2 linked regions of the Schizosaccharomyces pombe genome follow. The protein of the gene in region 1 interacts with the protein of each later gene in a pairwise test. Each region holds a gene or a part of one and is shown in the gene's direction. Other genes may lie near its edges.

What was found. Proteins that work in one complex are often made in the same cells at the same time.
Region 2: the proteins of rcn1 (region 1) and SPOM_SPAC1687.07 interact in a two-hybrid assay, tested with the Schizosaccharomyces pombe proteins (one large-scale study listed by BioGRID).

The regions. Positions count from the first base shown.
Region 1 is NC_003424.3:199,442-205,540, reverse strand, and holds rcn1 (calcipressin), read left to right. Parts: upstream 1-2,260; 5' UTR 2,261-2,562; coding exon 2,563-3,054; 3' UTR 3,055-3,812; downstream 3,813-6,099. Other genes in the region: SPOM_SPAC24B11.05 (pyrimidine 5'-nucleotidase), read right to left, coding at 1-328; diadenosine 5',5'''-p1,p6-hexaphosphate hydrolase Aps1, read right to left, coding at 4,674-5,306. UniProt on the Schizosaccharomyces pombe protein: Inhibits calcineurin-dependent transcriptional responses by binding to the catalytic domain of calcineurin.
Region 2 is NC_003424.3:911,878-915,365, forward strand, and holds SPOM_SPAC1687.07 (uncharacterized protein), read left to right. Parts: upstream 1-1,779; coding exon 1,780-2,154; downstream 2,155-3,488. Other genes in the region: SPOM_SPAC1687.08 (uncharacterized protein), read left to right, coding at 2,451-2,741; irs4 (ENTH/VHS domain protein), read left to right, coding at 3,215-3,488.

The DNA.
Region 1 (6,099 bases):
TCCAGCACTTGTACTTTTTACGAAGTTCTAAAAGCATCTCACGCAAAACTTCGTCTTTCTTTATAACCTTCTCTAAGGGAAGAGACTGATCGACACGCTGATCATAATCCACAGCATCAATTTCATGATGGAGAACAAGACCACGAATTGCTATACCGTAATGCCGATAGTAAACTTCACGAAGGCGTTCTGCCTCCTCTGTAGGTATGCCAAGCTTATCAGAGAAAAATGCAGTAATACGAGCAGCCATCATGTTATGGATTTTGTAAGATTTAGGATACAAACAGTTATCCAAATCGAAAAAAATAATCTTCTGCTCAACAGTCATAATGGTTGTTAAAAAAAAGAACGGTCAGATGGAGTAAAAAATTTGAATAGAGAAAAAAAGAGAAACGTCAACAAAGAGAGGTGTATATCTAATAGCGTAGGAGAACAAACGATCAATGGACGCACACAAAAACAAATAGCAGAAGGAGTATTAAAATCCTAAAAACAAAAAAATAAAATAAAATAAAATTAAGTTGAAAAACTTAAGAAATGAGACTTTTTAAAGCAATTAACGACTCAACCCGGATATTTGTGGTTAATGTCCTGTGAATAAACGATCAATAGCCAGTATCACGATAAAAAGAAAGGAGGTATTCGAAGATTGATAAGATAATTACAGATGTTTACCTCGGGTTAATGGATCGAAACAAACTAGTATGATCGGGAAATAACGAATCGTGAATTAGTATTCAAAGACGTACAAAAATAAAAAGAAGAGAAGAAAACGGTAACAATTTTAAAAAAGTCGAGAAAAACGTATGAATTGTAAAAAGTGTGATTTGGACAGGGCAATTGATGTAAACAAACAAATCAATCACCACTTGATAAACAGAAAAGATATGGGAAAACTGGATCGTTTGAATTCCTTCTTCCAAAATTTTACGATTTATCGACGCTAATAAATGTAAAAAAAATCGTAAAAATCGTGCTTAAGTATTCAAATTTGACGTTGGTGAGTATGCGATACCAGCGTGATCAGGGTTAATGCGAATTTCCCTTCAAGCAGAAAAAACTATTAGAATAGGTACTTCTCTTATAAAATTGGAGCAGAGAATTACAATACTTTTGTAAAACTTGTGAACAAAGGATGCGTTGTTGTTAGGGAAGAAGAGGCTATCGATATATATATCATGAACGGAATCATTCATCATCTTCAGCGAGTAGAGTGTATTGTAACGATGGCGACCGAGTCTACCTATCTTTACCGGAGGTAAGCTTTTTACGCCCATATGTTAAACGAACACTAAATGCGAGATCATGGAACATAAGCTAGGTCAAACACTAAGATACTTTTTCATGGGTATTTGACGCACCGCCAAAAAGATAAGAACATTTGTATGAAGAATGACTTTTCAGTAAACAATTGGTGAATTTTGATATCATCTTGTTCAATGGTGAACAAGCTTGCTGTATCAACCGTAAAATCGCTTCGAAATTGTATTAGAAAGATCGAATATACCGCTTTAACTGTGTACCATGAGAAACGAAAAGCGAGGTATCCACAGCAATTTTTTAGCTCTTAATCTAACAGAAAACCCCCTTCTGAAGAGAAAATCCATTATCAATTTTTGTTTAAAGAAAAAGTATTGTCTTTAGTAGGGAACGATGAATTTGGTTAAATAACAAAATCAATACAATTTCTCATAATAAAATTTTAGCTAAATCGCCATTTCCAGTTTCTTATGTATACATCAATTACTTGACTAAGAGGTGTGGACAGCAAAACAAGTTTTCGCTTTATATGAAATGAACTGTAGAAAGCTCGATAGGTGCTGAACTCATAAATGTAAAATTACTACCGCCCGAAATATTTATATGGCTTTGGACTCATTGCAAATTTGCGACCCTGAAAAATGATAATAAGCGGCACATTGACAATTACAGTTATCTAGTGAATGAAAAAAGAATTAAAAAAAAAAAGCAAGCAATATATTCTCAAATTTTCTGATTTACTTTTAACATCATTTTACTTTTTGTTTTCTTATTTTGTTGTGTTTTGTCTTGCAATTGCTAAGTGTTTTCAGTATACAACGTGAATACTCGTACAAGGTCAACAAATTATTTAAACTAAATTTGGCGATTCTTAAAACAAACAAATTAGATCCTTTATTTACATATCTATTTAACAATCACTCCTTTGGCTAGCTTCATACTTATTACCAATCTCATCAAATCGCTACTTCAATGTGACGTTTAAGTAGTCGACAAATTCATTCGTAAGCCAACATTTGAAAAATCTCATCGTTTCTTTTAATGATATTCTGTTAGATACTCTAAGTTTTTGTTTTACCTACTAAACCCGATTTCAATCTAAAACACAAAAAATAAACAAAAAAATCCCTAGATTTGGAAATCATTTGGACCACCAATTCTATAAAATTTTAAAAGATTGATTCTTAATTTGCATGCTTCAACATATGATTAATTAAGGACTATTTCTAATTATTTTTCTTTCATTTTCCATTATATATATGTTCTTTTCCCAGTACATATAGAAATATTTGTTTGCTCTTCATGTTAGTCTTTACTACGAGTCCCGATCACGTTGACGAACTGAACGAATTTGTTCAACAACTCAATCCGGTTGCTTTTACTCGAGTGCTTCGAGGATTGGGGAAGGTGTTGGCTTCTTACAATGACAAAGCTGTTGAAGAGGATACCCTCAAGAAGAGTAGTACTGGTTCCCTACCTTCCGGCCAACAAGTGCATTGTCAATATGTATTAGATGATCCTAATCATGTTGAAGGAATTTCTGTAGACCAATCGTTACAGGTTCCGAAGTTTGAGAAGAATTGGCTTATTAGCCCTCCTGGATCTCCACCTGTAGGATGGGAACCTATTGTTGAAGAATCTCCCAATTCGCAACATTTAGCTCATGATATTCAGCTTAAATTGGATGAATTAGGTAATGCCCTTTTGAACGATCATTCCGCTGGACCACAAATCGTAATTTCTGAACATAACAATACAAAGGAAACATCGCCATCCAGGCAATTTGAACATTAGTTCTTGCTCAATTTTCTTTTTCTTTTCTTTTTCTATTTAAATTTTTTGTGCATATGCGTTTATTTTTGGCTTCAATTTACAAAGTTTTGTTCTTGCTTCAACGCTTTTTTTTTGAAAGAAAAAAAAATCGACATTTTCAAATCAAGATTAAGATGGGTGAATTCTAAAACAGCTCGATTCCAAAACTTCACTTTTTTTAATTGGAAAACTATGGTTATCTTTATTACGGTCAACGACTTGCTCCCAGTAACTGTCTTGAAATTAAGGATCTATAGTTATGTGAAAGATATTTCCGTAATTCAGATTGTTAGTGATTTGTTGAATTTGACCTGGCTAAACTAACGCATATTAAAAGTTTTGTTTCATCAATTATTTATCCTATTATGCCCTATGTCTTCAAAGTTATTTACCTGTGAAACGTTACATTCTCGTTCAGATTAGATCCAGAAACTTATGCTGGGATCTAACAGGATTAACGACAATTGTTAGAATGTGAGACAGTGCTATTTAGTTCATTTTTAAAAGAATTGGCTATGACCGTCAAAGTTCTGAAAATAAAAATATATATATGTATTTTCTTCTTGTTTCTTTTTCTAAAAATTTTTTATTCTGATAGCTGAAGCTTTACTAACATAACTGCTAAATCCTACGTTTTTAATTTTGCAGTTTGTTTGGATTTTTAGGTGTGGTTATAAATTGCTTTTATGTACATTTTCACGTTGAACAACGTCAATCAAATATATTAAGTAATTCTCAAATTCTTATATAAGCATTTTGTACGAATATTTATACTAACGGATTGATGTTTGCTATAGTTCGTCGTTTCGCTATCTATTTACTACTAATTGAAAAGTATTTTTTAAAATTATCGCACGTAAGTGTAATGAGCGTCAATGGATTCACTATAATTCATAGCTATATGATTGCTGAAAGCCAATATAAAATTACACGACATATTCAAATTGACACACGAAACTTCTTGGGCTCATTAGTATCTAACAACGAATACGTTTTACCGTATGGAACAATTTTGTTTTTATTAACGTCACTAATCAAAATTGGTTGCAAACAATTAATATGCTAGCAACTAATGTGCTTTTTATGCATAGCACACAACGATAACGATTAACTCGCACCCTAGCATCAAACAGGTGGGATTAGATGATTTTTTAAGGAATGAAACTTTGTTTTAAAAAATTTGAATTATCATGCGATTCAATTGAAAATATATTTATAAATAGAATTAGTATGTTATGCAGACAATGATCTTAATCGAAAATATACAAAGAGAGTAAAAACTTTTAAAAAAGGAAAGAAAAAATAGCAGTTGAACTGCTGGAATATATGCTGTACCGCTGAAATCCTTTAAAGGATATATGTTTCATGAAATGAGCTTTATGTCGAAAACTCAATTTGACCCAGCTTGCTGAAAAAAAAAATAAGAATCAAGATTTGCAAACTTCAAGCCTTTTTAACACACTTGACATGGTAACTAATAGATATAACAATTTCGTAATCCCATGGAAAAAGATAAATATTGAAGCAAGAAATCAAAAAAAATGGTAAATTAAAATATTTGAATAAAAGGTTGCAAATGGTAAACATTATGCATCTGTACTTCAGTTTTCCTCTTTAATGATAGAGCTCTTCTCAAGAGCTGCCAAAATATCTTTACGACTTGTCAACGCTTCCTTTGCTTCTTGATAAGACATCCATTTTCGGCGACGCTTCCTCATCTCTGGGTAATTGTCTTCTAATCTTTCAACAATAACTTCAAAAAATTCACATTCGGCTCTAGGTGGAAGTAATAATTTCTCTGCTTCGGCTCCTAACTCGGTATTGGTTGAGACGTCATTTCCGCTACTTTTTGACATTAATTGCTTCAAATATTTTTTCCTTCTGTCAATAGTATCAGTAGGACGCTTATCCTTGAAAGACCCAAGGGATCTAGTGATATGACCCACTAGTCCGCCTTCTTCCCAACCTTCACGAAGGGCAGCTTGCTGAACAGATTCATCAGCCTCCCATCCACCCTTAGGAACTACCCAAGAAGGATGTTTTTTAGCAGAAGAAACTAATAGGACTTTCCTTTTGTCTGCAGATAAAGCAACAACACCCGCAGCAAGTCTGGCTCCTGTAATAGGATTGAATCGATTTTTCGTTCGACCTTCACGAGAAGTCATTGAGCGGTTCACTGCCGTCCGTAGATGATCCGGCTCCATTAAAATCACACTTCCGTTATTTTCAAGCATATGAACTATAAAGTACTCTTCTTTTCGACAAGTTGAATGGATTTGGTATAATTTCTTGCCTTATGGTAGAGTAAGGAAACGATGTCTGAAAAGGCAAAAGCAAGATGTTCAAAAGAATCTGAGTTCTTTTTGAACAAGGAAGAGATATAAATCTCCTATTCCGATGAATATAAATCGATCGCGAAAAGTGGTTTTCCGAAGGTTTCTCCCAGTGATTTAGGTTGGGATAACGAAATAGTGAAGTACAAACCGACACGCTAAACAGTTGTCGGAGACCAAATAATTTGCGGTGATATTTAAAATGAGAGATTGTATTAGAAAATAGGTAATTTATAATTTTTCAAAATAAATAGCTTGCGAGGAAAATACATTTTCATTTTGTATGCAGTAATCTCCAATTTGCGAAGTTGTTTGTATTCGTAGATTTCGCATCGAAAAATACCCACATTATCAATTCTTTGGACAAAATGAGGCTTTTTAAAAGGAGTACGCTTGTAGAAAATCTGTAAGTCTTAATCTTTTAATACACGGTTTTCGAAGTTTTGCATTGTATTTACTGTTCTGTTGTTCTATCTGATCATTGCTGATTCCTTCACTAACTCTTGATAAGTTGGGCTTTTTGAATCTGATAATATTGATAGTAAGAGAATCAATTAACACTAACCAATTGTTGATGCATTTTAATGTCGAGGAAAATAAAATAAAATAATTTAACAAAAAAAAGATTGGATAATTTAAATTCCCAATATCTGTTTTATTTAAAACAATTATTATAGCGAAAAAAAATGTTTAT
Region 2 (3,488 bases), 710 kb from region 1:
TCAGTTGCTTTTAGACTTGCTTCCAATGAAAGCTTCACAATGAATACCGTGTAAGTTGCCTGATCATATAAAGCTGATTACCAATTTGAGTAAGTATTTAAGCTTGCGATATTTTTGTTGGTGTAATTATCCTTAGCAATGGTACTCTTGTTTTTATAAAGGAGTATATGTTGCTTATGTTATGGCTTAACAGACGTTTCTGAAAACTTAACACAAATTATTGATATCAAAGTTGCATACCAAGCATTCAAACAATCTCATAAATTGAAAATGAAGTAAATTTATTATTTCTTTCCGGACTTTAACAGTGGAATGTTTAAAGAATTAATAATTAAAGATCTACAAAAATAATAACCTACAGCACCCCGGATTCCCATGTTGTCTCCAACCATAGTACTAACGAGGCCCTCAGACGCTTAACTGCAGTGATCGAACGGGAACTGGTGTTTTCGCCTAGGTATGGCCGTAGATATTCGTTCTAAGAATTTAATTAATTTAATGTGTAAACAGTTGTCCGAACGGTAGCAAACTTAGCGGAATCATGTTATGGTAAACTAAATTCCGTTACAACTTTCCTTTTTTTTAGAATTTTATAAATACACAAGAAGAATACACTAACTAATTATTTAAAGAGCACAAGTTGTTTATCTGATTTTTTTGGCAGAGTAGATTTTTTTTGAAGTAAAAGTTTAGGGTTTATGAGAAATGCGACAACAAATACTCACTCAAAACAACTTACTTAAAATGGTGTATATTTAAAGTTGATATAAGGATTTTATCCTTTGAAGAAATGTTAAAGCCATTCCGTCTTGAATGATGATTAACTGCTGTAAAAAAGATAGAAAAACCATTGCTTACTTGTAGATGAACTTGTTAATTTGTGATACTAGAATGATATTATTCAAGAAATATTACTACTATCACTTACAGATTGTCTCTGGCGAGCATAGAATGTTTACAGGAAAGCATATGAGGGGATATTCTTAACTCTAACACCGCATATGTGCATTGACGGCGTGGTATGTTATATCAAATATACTTTTTTTGCTTTATACTGTCTATGAATTAAAAAGGAAAGTGGATTTATCGAATCATCAGGCAAATTCGTGTTTCGCGAGTTTTTACATATCAAGAAATTTACGTTACTTATAATTGATGGTTAGTTAATCGTTTATTGCTTCATTAATTTACATCTGCTTCGTATCTTGAATGGAATGTTCTTGCTATGTTAACCATCTCGGATCGAGCAATTTAATTACTGTATATACGAAATTACAATTATTAAGTTAGAAATCATTTAAATAACTGAGAAGTATTGACTTTGTGTCTTTGCTGCGCACTGAATAAAGTGATTTGGTAAGCCTCACTTACTGACCTATCTCATCATCTACCTACCTAAAGAATCTTCATAATTAGCACAACTAGTCGTTCAATTGGTTTTCAATCTCTTTAATTTCATTATATTTTGCAAAATCAAGTACTTGCGTAATCGTTTATGGTCAGTATTTGATTTTGAGCGCATACCCCTAGCCTTAAGTTTTTTTTTTTGTTTTACTACTTGTGGTCATTAACCCGACGAAACTCTGCATGTTGTTTTAACCATACAATAATTTCCTTTTTTACTATCATATCAAATTCGCTATTATCAAGAAAATCCATATTAACGAGTCAGGTCGACTTGAAATTAGACTGTTTGGACTTCTCCTTCTAAACGGAATACGTTAACATTATTATTTTCAAGTGTTTTACTTATCTAAATATTTGTCTTTATAGCCGAATATGGCAAGTTTTCATATAATCGTTTCTTATGTCACTGTTGTTTTGGCTATAATTATCGCCATTACATTTGCTGCTAGAAGATTTTGGATATCTCGCTATCGAAGTATCAGATATTCACCTGTTGAAAATTCTTTTGAAGCAGATTTCAACAATGGGCTTAACTCCAGTTCATTTGATATCGCCCAAAATATTCTAGCTCAGGACACTCGGGCCGGCCTGGACGAAGCCGCTACTTCACAAATTCGTGGATTGATGAAACAGCTTCAGTGCTCATTTGATCAGGCAAGACTCATCTATATCCGTAAAGTCATGAGTGACAACAACGTTGACTCTACCGGCATGCCACTTGACAATAAAGCTGTTACAAAACTTTAAATGTCATTAAGCAACAACTGAAATCAGAAAATTACGCAAAGTCCTAAAAAATCTTAGTTAGTGTCTCCGAAAATATCTCAAAATCTTCATCGGCGGCCGGAATTTATTTTTTATTTATTTTTCCAGAATGGTATGTTAACTCATGGATACGAAAACATGTGGATACCGATTTATTTCGTTAGTTATGGAAACGAAATATAACATTGTCATAAGCTTTCTCAAACTTTTTACGATTCATGGACTTCCAAATCTTCAATTACTGCTAACGCTATCAATAATTCTTAAGAATTAATGAAATGTTTATCTTCAATGTTCTGACGATCCGCTGTACTTTCCATGTTCTATTTGCTATATGTTACTTTTGTGATCATTTGCTGCAATATATCAGCAATTCTCGAGATAGTAAGGCTGGTCTAAAAATTTTTTTAGTATTCGAACTAGCTGTTACTATTTTCAATACGGTAATGCTTCAATTAGCTAACCGTGTAAAAAACGGGCTCACCCTTGCAATATTGATTGTCTCTGTTGTAATGTTTGTGTATCATCAACAGCTAATAGTTAATTGCAAAAAGATGCTAGCCTTATAATTATTTGCTTTTCAAATTCCTTGAAGAGTAAAATTTTGAAGAAATATTTTGTTTTATCATGTTTGATAATGATCAAAGTGAAATTTCGTTTATTGTTTAGTTTATTATTGATACTTTAAGAGTCAGTAAGCTTATTAAAAGAGAGGTAACATTGTTTTTGAAACTGCGTAAGCAATATACGGGGCAGCAAGGAAGAGTGACAAAACTGGTGAAAAGTTTTAAGGTAATTGTTTAGCGCAGTACTCAGAGTCATTTAGCAATGCGTCATCTGGTATGTAACCCGCAAGGAAAAATCACATGTATGCTACTTCCATCAGTGCAGTCGTTTTGTAACCTTCTTTCTACAATTCATAACACACAACCTCTTTCTTTTTTTTGAACAATCTGTGAGGGTCTTATCGATTTAGACAGCATTTCGCCTCCTTCATTCATTATTTATTATATTCCCTGATGTAGAACAAGAAGGCCTTGCGATGGACGCGATTCATCCCGTATCTTTACGAAATAGTAAAAGACATCCATTACTGCATTCTGAAAGAAACCTCAGCCGCCGTGCAGTTTCTCCAAGCATAAGCAGATCATTTTTTCAGCATTCTAATGGATCCTTTCCCCTATTTCAGAACCACAGAAAGAGCTTACCTTCCGCTATATATAAATCCGTAGATCCATATGTTGATGCCAACCCACTAGATCCCTTAGCTGCTGCCAAAGCGAGTTTTGCGGATTTTCCTGAACAAGATGATTCTC